Linked DNA regions of Coturnix japonica. The protein of the gene in region 2 purifies or fractionates together with the protein of the main gene of each other region. This does not show direct contact. Links are inferred from orthologs where the notes say so. Each region holds a gene or a part of one and is shown on either strand. Other genes may lie near its edges. The genes, in order: SUDS3, SAP30 and SIN3B.

Region 1 (3,648 bases), on a different chromosome or scaffold from region 2:
GCTCTGGGTGGCATTCAGCTTCATTTTACAGGATTTCAAGGAAGTCTGTTGTGCTGCAGCTCACAGATTGTTCTGTACGGCAACGCAAGCTGAAAAGCACTGGAAATGCTCCTTGTTTGATGCCTCCACTAAATGTCAGCGTGCTAAAGGTTGTTCATGGATGGTTTTAAGTGAATAAGCTAAAGAGATATTGTAGTGCTTGCTGCTAATAATATGAGGCTTTGTGGGGGCTGACTTGCATTAATTGTATGATAAAAAAGTATAATGCCCTTATTAAAATCTGATGCAATTTCACTAAGCATAACCCAGAAGGTTTCTGTAAAGTGAAATATCATCGACCTTTAATTTTTAGCCTTGTCAAGAGCTTTAGAGAACCTTAATTCTGGATACCTCAGCTGAATTACTTGTTGACGGATGAGCAAATAATGGAGGACCTGAGAACCCTAAATAAGGTAGGGATTCTGGCTTGAGTTATATTTCTTTATTTTAAAGAAGAGCAGAGCTCTCTGTCCTATGTTCCTTTCTGAGATGTGGGGCTGTTTCATCCCAGTAGGCTTTCTGAAGTAACACAAGATAAGATTTAGCAAGAGGGTATCTCCTCCCTTCTATTTTGGTATGTTTAATTAACCTAATTAAAATGACTGCTGCCTAACAGCGTTACCTTTTGTTGGAACCAAATGATAAGCTATCTTACCGTGTTCTTGTCTTCCCCTGCATGGCTGAACAGATGGTAGCACTGTTTTCTTTGAGATCCCAGCCTCTGTTCCAAGCCTTTGGGGGCTTTTCTTTTTTCTCCCCAATCTTGCAGTGCTTCAGTGAACGGGGTAGGGTACAGTGTGTTTATTTATTGTTCAGCTTCTTCTAGATGTGATTATCCTTGCTAACTGCTTTAAGGCTTATGCGATTTCTCATATTAGGGGCTGCTCATTAAGGCTTTTGATGATGTTAATGGAGCATGCCTTTTGTGGCAGCTGTAGAAGTCTTGCTAATGATCTACATTCTGTGTTTGATCCAGCTGCTCTCAGGGTATGCCATACTCAGAGAATGGAGCGTGTCGGATGGATTTGGTTTGGTGGACAGTCAGAATGCTCTGAAAAATATCAGTTTCTGGCCCTGAAGTATTATGAGATGATCTGCACCTCTAGCTGCTTATGGCACAGTGTTCTGGTTTTGTTATGCCACTTAACTGTACCCTTTAATTAAAAAAAAAATAATACAACCATTTAGAGTATGGGAAGAAAGACCACATCTAAAGTTATTACATCCTTGGTCATTGTCAGATCCCTCACGCTTTCTCTGTTCTCTTTCCATGCAGCTTAAATCACCCAAGAGACCAGGTGAGTTCGCAGTGACACTGGAACTTGTTCACAACCATGTTGTTTTGGACAGAGATTTATATGGTAGACTTCTTGACTGGGTAATTTGGTTGTGTGATTGTTTTGACTGAGTAATTGCTGTTCTTTGTGTGGTTACTGTGGCTAAGGGGTGCCCTGTGGAGTCTCATAATCTCTTAGGAAGTTTGGGGATGGGGAGGCAGCAGTATGTATCCTTCAGGTGTGTGAAGCATTTGGGCAATGAGAGACCACTGACAACATGGGTCAATGTGGCTGCGTAGCAAGACTTTCTTTCTCTGTATTCATATGTGTCTGGACATGTCTTTGTAAAGTAGGCAGAGTAATTAGTAGTAATTTCCAGCTTTGTGGGTTTAGCTCTCTAGGTGTATCTCTACGCTTCACTTCAAGATACAGGTACTATCATGCTGAAGTAATCCTGACCCTATTCTATTAGTACATTATGAATTAGAAGTAAAATGAATCCAAGGATGCAGTGTTTATCACCTGCCTGTACATACTTTGGTTGCTTGATCTATTCAGTAGATGTTACAATTTAAGTAAGCAAGGCCAAGGTTGAATTAGTCATCCCAACAGAAAGTATCTTTCTAAAGGATATCTGAATTTGTAGCTTTCTGTGCTTATTTTTGCTTAATGCAGCCATGTTAAATGATTCTGCAGGCAGATGTGCTGCTGCATGGTGGACATATGCTAATCTTTAAATGGTCTCTTCTCTCCACTCAGTCTCTCCTTCCTCCCCTGAACACCTCCCAGCTACACCAGCTGAGTCTCCAGCGCAGCGGTTTGAGGCCCGGATAGAAGATGGAAAACTCTACTATGATAAAAGATGGTAAGACATGGTAAATTTCTATTTTAATCATTCTGAGCCTTGTTTTGTGAAGTGAAAATGACTGCAGAGAGAAATCACTTTATTAAGGAATCCGGGGGTGAAACGTTTTTGAGCAGTCATTAGCTCCGTCCTCCAAGAATTAATCATTATGGCTTTTGTAAATGAGCGATAATGGAGTGTTCAGACCTCATAGACTTTCTGGAGTAACTACTAGCATGGGGACTTACAAATGACTCCATAGAAAAAAGAAATTGTGCACTGTGACACTTGGGAAATAGTTTTGTCAAATCTAATCTCATGTAAGAGAGCTGCCATTGGCTGCAGTTTGGAGTAGCATTGAAGCTGGTCAGCTAAGATATGGGAGTTCAGTGATTGCAGGTACAGCTGTTGCCAACAGTGTTCACAGTCCACGTGCTCTGCTTTGTAGTAACAACTCTTTGTTCCACGAGGTGGCAGAAGAAATGTGCACCAGATAAGCACGATGACAAATTTCTGATAACAAATCCTAATAACCTTGAAAGATCGGATCCAACGCAGGAGAGGCAGCTTCAGAATTGCTGATTGGATATAGCTCTTTAAGTTTTATGGGTGTTTAGCTGTGGAAGCCTCACAAAATGGAAAGAAAATAAGATTTCTGTGTAAAATTTATTAGTAGGTCTTAATCGGAGACATGCAAAATGAGATAATCAAGGAGGCAATCTCATTCTTCTTAAGCAGAAAGCCATTTCCAAGCAGCATGCTCGTCTGTAGCCTACTCTGTTGGCTCAAAAAAATGAGACGAGGTTGTAATTTTCATACTAAAAGTAAGTTTTGGATTTGTTGTCTAAGCAGCAGCATCGTGTGCTGTTGGTCATCTGTTTTTCCTTTTGCTTGTCTTCTGGTAGTGCTGTTTCATTGAGGATTCAGTGTATGCAACTCTGCTAAAAGCTGCTGCCTGGAGCTTAAACTTCTTGAAGCACAAACCAGACACAAAGAGGCTGCTTGTCACTTCACAGATGCTCTCAGAACTTTAGTTTTGTGTAGAGCTACTGTCCTGTAGGTTACATTGAGAGGAATAAACAGTTCCTTAGGATCTTTAACTGTGCCCATTACTGTTGTGCTGCATATGAAGGAGGACAGATATTGGTGTACCTGCTCCAGAAGTAAATGTGAGAGCTCAGGAGTGGCTGCTTTTTCTGTGTCCGGAAGAAGCTGTGAAAGGACCATTAGCTTAAAGTAGTGAATGGTTAAGGATAGTAAAGGCCCCCCAAGGTCTTGCAGAGGCATTTATAAAATCATATTTCCAAAGCAGAGACTGTGTAGGGAATTTCAGGATGTGGAATCAGACTTTCAGGGTTTTTGTCCTTGTGTTGATTCCACGCTCTCCCCCACATCCTAAACCATGGTTCACCATCTTGTCATTTTGCTTTTAGCTTTGCCTTCACACAGCAGTGCAGTGATTTCTTTCCATCTTCTGCTGCAGTTGAA
Region 2 (3,748 bases):
CAGCAGTAAACTGGATGGCAGTTCAAAAATCAAGGGGCCAGTGGGCATCTATAGCACACCAACACCACACAGGAACTGCATGCTGAAACTCTCCAGAACTACCTACTTCCCTGCACCACTACCACTGAAAATACATTTCCTTTCTTCTGTTCTAGGGATATCCATCAGTTGTGTCATGCTTTATTATTCCTGTCTGAGCAAATAAACAGGCAAAAGCTGCAGTTGCCACTGTGCCAGACAGCTACCAAAAGCCACAAAGAACAGCAGGTTTAGAGAGCTTTCAGAGATGCCATCCAATGTTTTTAGCTGACAAAAACCACAGCCCAGCATCAAACTACTTCCAATCTCCTAAAATCCTCTTATAGTCAAAGCCTTCAGGCTTGAGCCGTGTGCCTCCAGGCAGAGATTCCTGCATGAAGTTTCATCACTGACATTGCTGACGCTGACCTTAAGGATAAGTTCACAATCCTCAAGCACCTTCTGACAAACACTGGATAAATCTCTTGGTTGAGGCCGGGTAGGCTGTGCTCAACGATTAACACACAAACTGTAACAGAAATAATCCAGCACACATGTAGGAAGAAGAAAGCTTTAAGTGCATTCACATTATACTATGAAAAAAGTTTGAAAGTAGTTCACTTCCAAAACGGGTGGTGTTTCACTGGCCTACAATAAGGAAGGCAAGCAGAAATGCCTTCTTATTTCAGCTCCTCCTCAGCAAAACTGCCTCAGCATCTCTATCCCCAAGAAGGACTAAAACCAGTGAGCTCCCTCACTGAGAAACTTCCAGCTACACTAAGTGGTAACTACAGGCACCATCTGCAACGTGCTTCACATGGAAGGAAAGGATTGGAGGGATGTGACAGAGAAGCAGTTATAGCCCAAGTCCGGTGTGTCCTGTCAACCTTTACAAAGACTGATTTTCATAGCAAAACAACTTCTAGCAGGCTCCTGGAGCCAAAACTGTAAGGAAAGTTCAAAACAGCAGCTGCCTGAGATTCTGCACATCTAATAGAGAAAATACACCCTGGAATCCAGTTTGCTTTTGTCATATTAAAAGCCAAGCACATCAGGAGCCATCCCCAAAAGCAGGCACGGCTGAAGCAGGAACAGACTTAACGTAACTATTAGAAAAACCGTTGGCTACCTCTGGAGTGTCGATGTCTTGCACTGGTGAGTCACCATCGTCATCACTGCCTTTTCTCTTCCTTCTATTTCTCACACTCTGAATTAAGTTTTTGTGGAAGTCGCAGATATAAAGGTGTCTCGCCTACAAGAGTAAGACCGCATCTTTCAATCAAACCCGTGCAAGCTCCTCCCAGCCTGGCAGCACAGAGGCATCTACAGAGACATTCCTTAGGCAGCCTCGCTCACGCGGAGCGAGGTGGGGAAGCCCCTCTGCCTGATAGCGCTGCACGGAGGCATTGTTATGTTACCTCCACCGACTCGGCGGGAGGACGGGGGGAAGCGGCTACCGGTTGACTGGCAGAGAACGTCGCGCAGCGGGGACAAGCGCGCACACAACCCTCCCTCCAACCGCTCGCAGCAACTCGGGGATCGGCAAACAAACACGCACGAACGGAAGGCGGGCAGCCTCCGGAACATCCCGCGGGAGGCAAAATGCCACCTCCTCCCCATCCGCACGGCTTTACCTCCGCAAGGTCAAGCGACACGCGGGCCGCTCCCCTCATTCCCCAGCTCTCCTGCACAGGGCCGCACCGTGCGGCCGCGCCGAGCCCTCCCCACACGGAGCCCCGCGCCCACGGCCGCCGGGTGGGGCACCGACAGCGCCGGGCTCCAGGCGGGACGGGGCGGCGGCAGCGCTGCGGGAAAGGAGGGACTGGGAAACGGCGCTTCCCCGCCGCCGGCAAAGACAAAAAAAAAAAACAACCCGCAAACAAAAGAAAACACGCCAAAAAAGAACTTTAAAAGCCGCCCCCGAGCCGCTGCCCGCTGCCGTAAGACTTACGCTCTTGTCCAGCTCGATCTTCACCTTCTTCTGCGAGATGCTCTTCTGGATCCTCTTGCTGAAGCTGGCGTTGCCGGCGGCGCGGCCGCAGCGCTCTCCCTCCTCCCGCAGGCAGCACAGCTGCCCGGCCCCGGGGCCGCCCGCCCCGGCCGCGCCCGCGGCTCCCACGGCCAGCCCCGGGGGCGCCGACCCCGCCGGCACCTCCGCTCCGGAGCCCGCACCGCTCACCGCGCCCGCGGCGGCGACGGCGGGGTCGGCCCCGCGTTGGGGCAGCTCCTCGGGGGCGAAACCGTTCATGCCCCGCGTCGGGCCGGCGGGAAGCCCCGCGAGCGCCGCCACCGCTTCCCCCCGGCGAGGGGACTCGGGCCCGGAGGGTTCTACGGCCGCGCTCAGCCCGGACCGCGAGGGAACACGCGCGGCGCGACGGGCGCCCTCGCTCCGAGCCCCGCGGCTACCGGCGCGCTGGCGGCGCCCCACGGGCCGCCCCGCTTCCTCCTTCCCCCTCTGTCATGTGGAGACTCTTCAGCTGTTTCCTATGCAACAACAGCAACCTGCCCGCCGCCCCGCCCCTCAGCACTGCGCCTGCTCAAGGCCGAGCCGCGTTGCGCTCCGGGAAACGCAGTTCGTCCCGCCGCTCTGCGCTGCGGGCGGCGAGGCCGGGAAACTACGGCTCCCGAGCTGCGCGGCGGACGGGGCGCTCCGCTCCGCACACACCGCAGCTTGTTGCAGCTCGGTGCCGCGGCTCCGCCCGCCCCCCGCCGGCATGTGGCGGTGTCGGCCCGGGCCGGCTGGTAGGACGCCGCCTTCGCTCCTCCCCGTCGGCGCGGCCGTTGGGATTTGAAATGCGGCCGTGCCGCTACCGGGGGCGGGAAGTGGATTCTGAGGCTCCGCGTTGTGTCCGGATCAAACGCTGCCTGTATTGAGATATTTCGAGCTCTAAGAAAGCTACACGAGAGCCGCGTTAACGCACAGCCTGTAATAGCTCAGCCGCTGTGGGGCCGCCTCTGACCTATTTTCGTCCGAGTGCGTTCAGAGCGCAAAAAGGCGGCTTTGCGCTCCTTTTTGAGCCCTTAAATTCGCTAACGGGCCCGAGCGCCGTGAGGTAACCGCGGAAATATGCGGCCGTATCCATTACTGTGCGAGTGTGGAATCAGGAGAGTAACCGGGAGGTCAGCGAGCGATTTGAGGAGACGCAGATCCCGTGTAAGCCCAACAACTGCCTGAGCCAGGGAGTGCGATTATGCTGCAGTTTGGGTTTGTGCTGCAGATGGCTTTTTAATCCGGTTGCGTAACCTGGCATTAGAGAACGAGGGTAGGTCCCGCTTACGCTCCCAGCAGTTGCGACTGAAGGATCCAGCGAGTGGAGTTAGGCTGAGCGTACAGTGACAGACAGCAGTTATGCATGAGGGCACGTTTTGTGATTAAAGGGAGAAATTGGGTTAAGAGCTGGAAAAAATACCGAACCCTCCTTTGTTACAGCCCAGCTGGGTTCAGTTCCACACCCTGCCACTGTGTCAGCTCAGAAAAGGGACGTTTAACTCGCTGCTCAAGTTCCTTGTGATTCGACCCTTTCAAAGATTATAATGATGTTAATAATAACAAACAAAGCCACACAACAGTAGGAGACCTTACCTAAAGAAGATATAGGAAGAAGTGTGAGTTCCAGGAAGTTTCCAGCAGAAATCAGGGTCACAAGTAGCAATTTCTACCAGCTTACACTGTGTCTTTTGTGATCCGTTTCATTTCATCAGATGGTTTTGACCTTATGCTGAGCATAAA
Region 3 (3,648 bases), on a different chromosome or scaffold from region 2:
GTACTGCTCACGCCAAATTTTGTTGAAGCCCTGCTGGGCCTCCCGCCACTCCTCCTCTTTTGCTTTCAATCTGCATAAATGTACAATCTACTTCAGTTTGAAAAGACAAATAAAAGCACCATCACTGGAGATAAGCTGTCCTTTCTAACAGTGTCTACCAAAACCAGCTGTTTAAAAATGCTTGGAAGACTAGAAAATAACAACAATTTCCAACACCTTAACTTTCTCATTGGAGATCATTTCACAGAACCTTTCAGCATTGCAAAAAGAAGTGTATGACCCAAGTATTCAGAAACAGCAGGACAGAGAAGAAGGGAGGACTTAAAACTCATATTTTGCTCCCAAATCAACCTCAAAAACTTGATGTTTTTTTAAAGCACAGTCTGTGAACTCTAAACACAGACAGAAGCATTTTCAGCAAGCTACTGAAACATTTTAGATGCTTCTAACGAGCTGCTAAAATATTTGTCACTTCAGAAGTAAACAAAATCTACTTTATTTCCTATTTCTGTACTTTATTATAATGTAAGGAAGTAAAAACCAAGTTACTTATTGGGGGAAAAAAAAAATGAAAAAAACAAAAATGAGCTTTACAATCCTGTGTTGGTTTCTTTAAGATCCCAGGTGAGTGTGGGAGAACAGGAATTACCTCTTAAGAACAACTGGGACTGCAGTAACTGGGTTTTTCTTCAGACTTTCAATGATCTCTGGTGCTTTATCACCATAGATGCGGTAGATGGCCCTGCGTTGGATCACTTCTGATGTCCCTCCCAAGCAATCATCCAGCCGAAATTTTTCCTGATCCTCTTGAGTGAGACGAGAAAGCTTTTTCTGCACACTCTCCAGCACACGTATTGTGGCTAAATTGGTCTCCAAGACAACATCCAGCTGTTAAAGAGTCCACAGAGACACAGTTTAACAGCGCAGGAAAATGGAGCTGAGCAGTGCTCAGATCTGCTGCCTGCTGGGTGGAGCTAAGAAGCATCAGCAAGGCTTCTTACTGGAAAATAGACCTATGCCAGTTCTCCAAAGGTAACATGCTTTCCAGAACTGCACTCATGCCTAAAAGAACTGTTAGCAAGTGGGAAAACCCCAAACTCTTGCTCAAACTAATGAACACTAATAAAGCTTCCAGTATTTGGTAATGATTAGTTCAGTAAAAAGCCTTAACAGCTAAAAGTTTTGTTTTCTGAGGAGGGAGAATGGAAGCTGAACAGCAGAGGTACCTCAAACCGCTCATCCTCACAGCGGTGCAACTGTTCCTCATAAGGAGTCTTCTTGGAGCTGACAAAAGTTGAGTCTTCAGACCAGGATGGAAATGAAACCCAGGTATCGTTTAACACCTGCAAGAGTGCAAAGATACAACACTGAATAATGTCTTAGGAGCCAGAGCTGTTCTAAGAGCTCTGATACTTCTCTGTTTTATTCTTGAACAGTTCTTCCTTAAGTTTCTACTGCAAGTTTCAGCCTAGCTAACACTATTATGACTATGCCTAGATAATTAAAGGTCTGTGTAGAAATGCATCAGAGTTCACAAGCAGCTTCACTATCTTCTCTCAAAGCAGATATTGCAGTAAAGTAGACAACAGGGAACAGTGGGAGTAGATGTCTGTTCTCAGTGACAGCAGTGCCTATGGCATTGGCTCACAGTGCTCTTTCAGGAGAAACACTGCTTCCAAAGGTGAGTCCACTGCTAGAGAAATAACTTCCATTTTTTTTTGTCCATTCAAATAAATTTGTGCATGCAAACACCCTCAAAAGAGATTACACTGAAAGACATGACTGAGGATGTGTTTAGATAAATCTAACAAGCTGAATGTGGATACTCTTATTTCAATGAATTGGATGAATAACTGATACAAGACTGAAGAGGGATAGTCAGTTAAAGAGGAGCCCATGTGCAGAAGCTGTACTTTCATTTACATAATTACAGTGTTTGTGCAGGGATTTAGTGGATGATGCCAAAGTACCTCCTTGCAAATGGCTGTTCTCCCACTGCACTTTGGCTGCTGGTAGGTTTTTGGGAGAGCACGGTAACTTGATCCAATGCGTTTGCAGGAAGCATAATCTATTTCCCGACTCATTCCATCTCCGGATCGGTCGCTCAGTGGAGAAGCAAACGAAAGCTCTTTTACACCAAGAAAGGACTTGAACTGTGCAAACAGCTCTGGAAATTTCCTTCAAAAAACACAAATAAGCATGACCTATGTTATTTCATTCCAACAGTTTTAGGCTGGCTAATACTTGTCATAAAAGCATGAAACCTAAATAAGCTCCTCCCCAGAATGCTCCCCAAGAGTTGGGTAGCTACATTAAAGATTCCAATTGTATTATTTCTCTTTGTGGATTAGCTTTGCATTGCTGGCATGCTACCTAAAATGTATTTCTGATGTTGAATTCAAAGCTTCAGTGACAAAATTCACAGCACCTACCAAAAATTAACAGAGCAAGGCTGAAAAAGGCCAATGCAGCAGAGATGGCAATCAGTAACTTACCCTAAAAATGGCGTAACTAACTGGAGCAGCTCAGAACCAGAGACCAACTCCTGGTTGAAGAGAGCAATGCAACGGAGAAAATTTTCATAGACTTCCTGACTTTTGAGTACTCTACGCACCTACAGACAGTTTGGAAAGAAATTATCAAACCACTTGAATGTCACTTTTAATTAGTGTTCATATTCTAAGGAGTCTGAACCACAGGTATGGAGACCAACCTCTATTTGCATTGCAGCATAAAAAGAGAACATTCCCCAGAAGTCTCAGTTTCAAACATTAATTTAATAGCTACATATAGTCACTATCAGGAAATGCTGCTGAAAAGCACAGTAAAACGTACGTGATAGAAACAAGCATTCGGGAAATGGCTAATGATCAGTTCCCATTCTTCCAAACCCATCTATTTGCTTTTTTCTTGGTCTGCCCTCCCTCTGCCACTTGAAGTCAGGCAATTGCTAAGTGCTGACACACAGATTAAATAAATAATAACAAGTTTAAAGTAAGCCCACAGCGTGACAACAGGCCGTGTACTGACCTTGTCAAAGAATGAAAACTCCTGCAGCGTTCCATATTTTCCCACTGTTGCTACTGACAGATCTTTGGTACCTCTCAGTTTCATTTTCTTCTGTCAAAAGAACAAACGATTATACTTAATATGTTGTCATTCAAATGCTATCAAACTCCACTTGTTGACACAGAACAGCTCTCTGCAAAGTCTGATCATCGGTATTTCCCGAACAGCAATCTAGCATTGCTATGTCAAGTCCTCCACAGCAATCTGTATCAAATGAATCCTAGTTGAGGAGGAGAAGGATCACTTCAGGAAGAATTCCAAAGAAAGTTTCCTTTGCAGAAGCCATGAATTACCCTTTTGAGGACCAATACTCTGCACCTAAAGGCTTGATGATCAGTATACAACATGCTACCATATACATCTTAGAATGCTTTCCTTGCAGATTATATAAAATAGTTTTGATTTTTTTCCCCCTTGTACCTAACCTACATGCTTCACAGTCACTACTCATTACAACTTTACCCAAGGAATTACATAAACAAAACGAGTAATATGAGGTCACTTGCAGAGAGATACCTTTGCTGGGCCAGAAACAGGACGCAACAGCAGCGGCCTGGATCGCTTTTTGCTGTGCTCAAG

What was found.
Region 1: the proteins of SAP30 (region 2) and SUDS3 purify together in Homo sapiens (affinity purification with mass spectrometry; 4 studies listed by BioGRID and IntAct, with this or other methods). This does not show direct contact. The link is inferred for Coturnix japonica from reciprocal best matches to the Homo sapiens genes SAP30 and SUDS3.
Region 3: the proteins of SAP30 (region 2) and SIN3B purify together in Homo sapiens (affinity purification with mass spectrometry; 4 studies listed by BioGRID and IntAct, with this or other methods). This does not show direct contact. The link is inferred for Coturnix japonica from reciprocal best matches to the Homo sapiens genes SAP30 and SIN3B.

Annotation. Positions count from the first base shown.
Region 1 is NC_029530.1:8,704,301-8,707,948, reverse strand, and holds part of SUDS3 (sin3 histone deacetylase corepressor complex component SDS3), read left to right. Parts: intron 1-390; coding exon 391-452; intron 453-1,315; coding exon 1,316-1,337; intron 1,338-2,075; coding exon 2,076-2,181; intron 2,182-3,648.
Region 2 is NC_029519.1:38,529,612-38,533,359, reverse strand, and holds the start of SAP30 (histone deacetylase complex subunit SAP30), read right to left. Parts: upstream 2,593-3,748; 5' UTR 2,267-2,592; coding exon 1,970-2,266; intron 1,271-1,969; coding exon 1,148-1,270; intron 1-1,147. UniProt on the Homo sapiens protein: Involved in the functional recruitment of the Sin3-histone deacetylase complex (HDAC) to a specific subset of N-CoR corepressor complexes. Capable of transcription repression by N-CoR.
Region 3 is NC_029543.1:3,320,515-3,324,162, forward strand, and holds part of SIN3B (paired amphipathic helix protein Sin3b), read right to left. Parts: coding exon 3,586-3,648; intron 3,121-3,585; coding exon 3,031-3,120; intron 2,615-3,030; coding exon 2,496-2,614; intron 2,179-2,495; coding exon 1,971-2,178; intron 1,344-1,970; coding exon 1,227-1,343; intron 889-1,226; coding exon 650-888; intron 71-649; coding exon 1-70.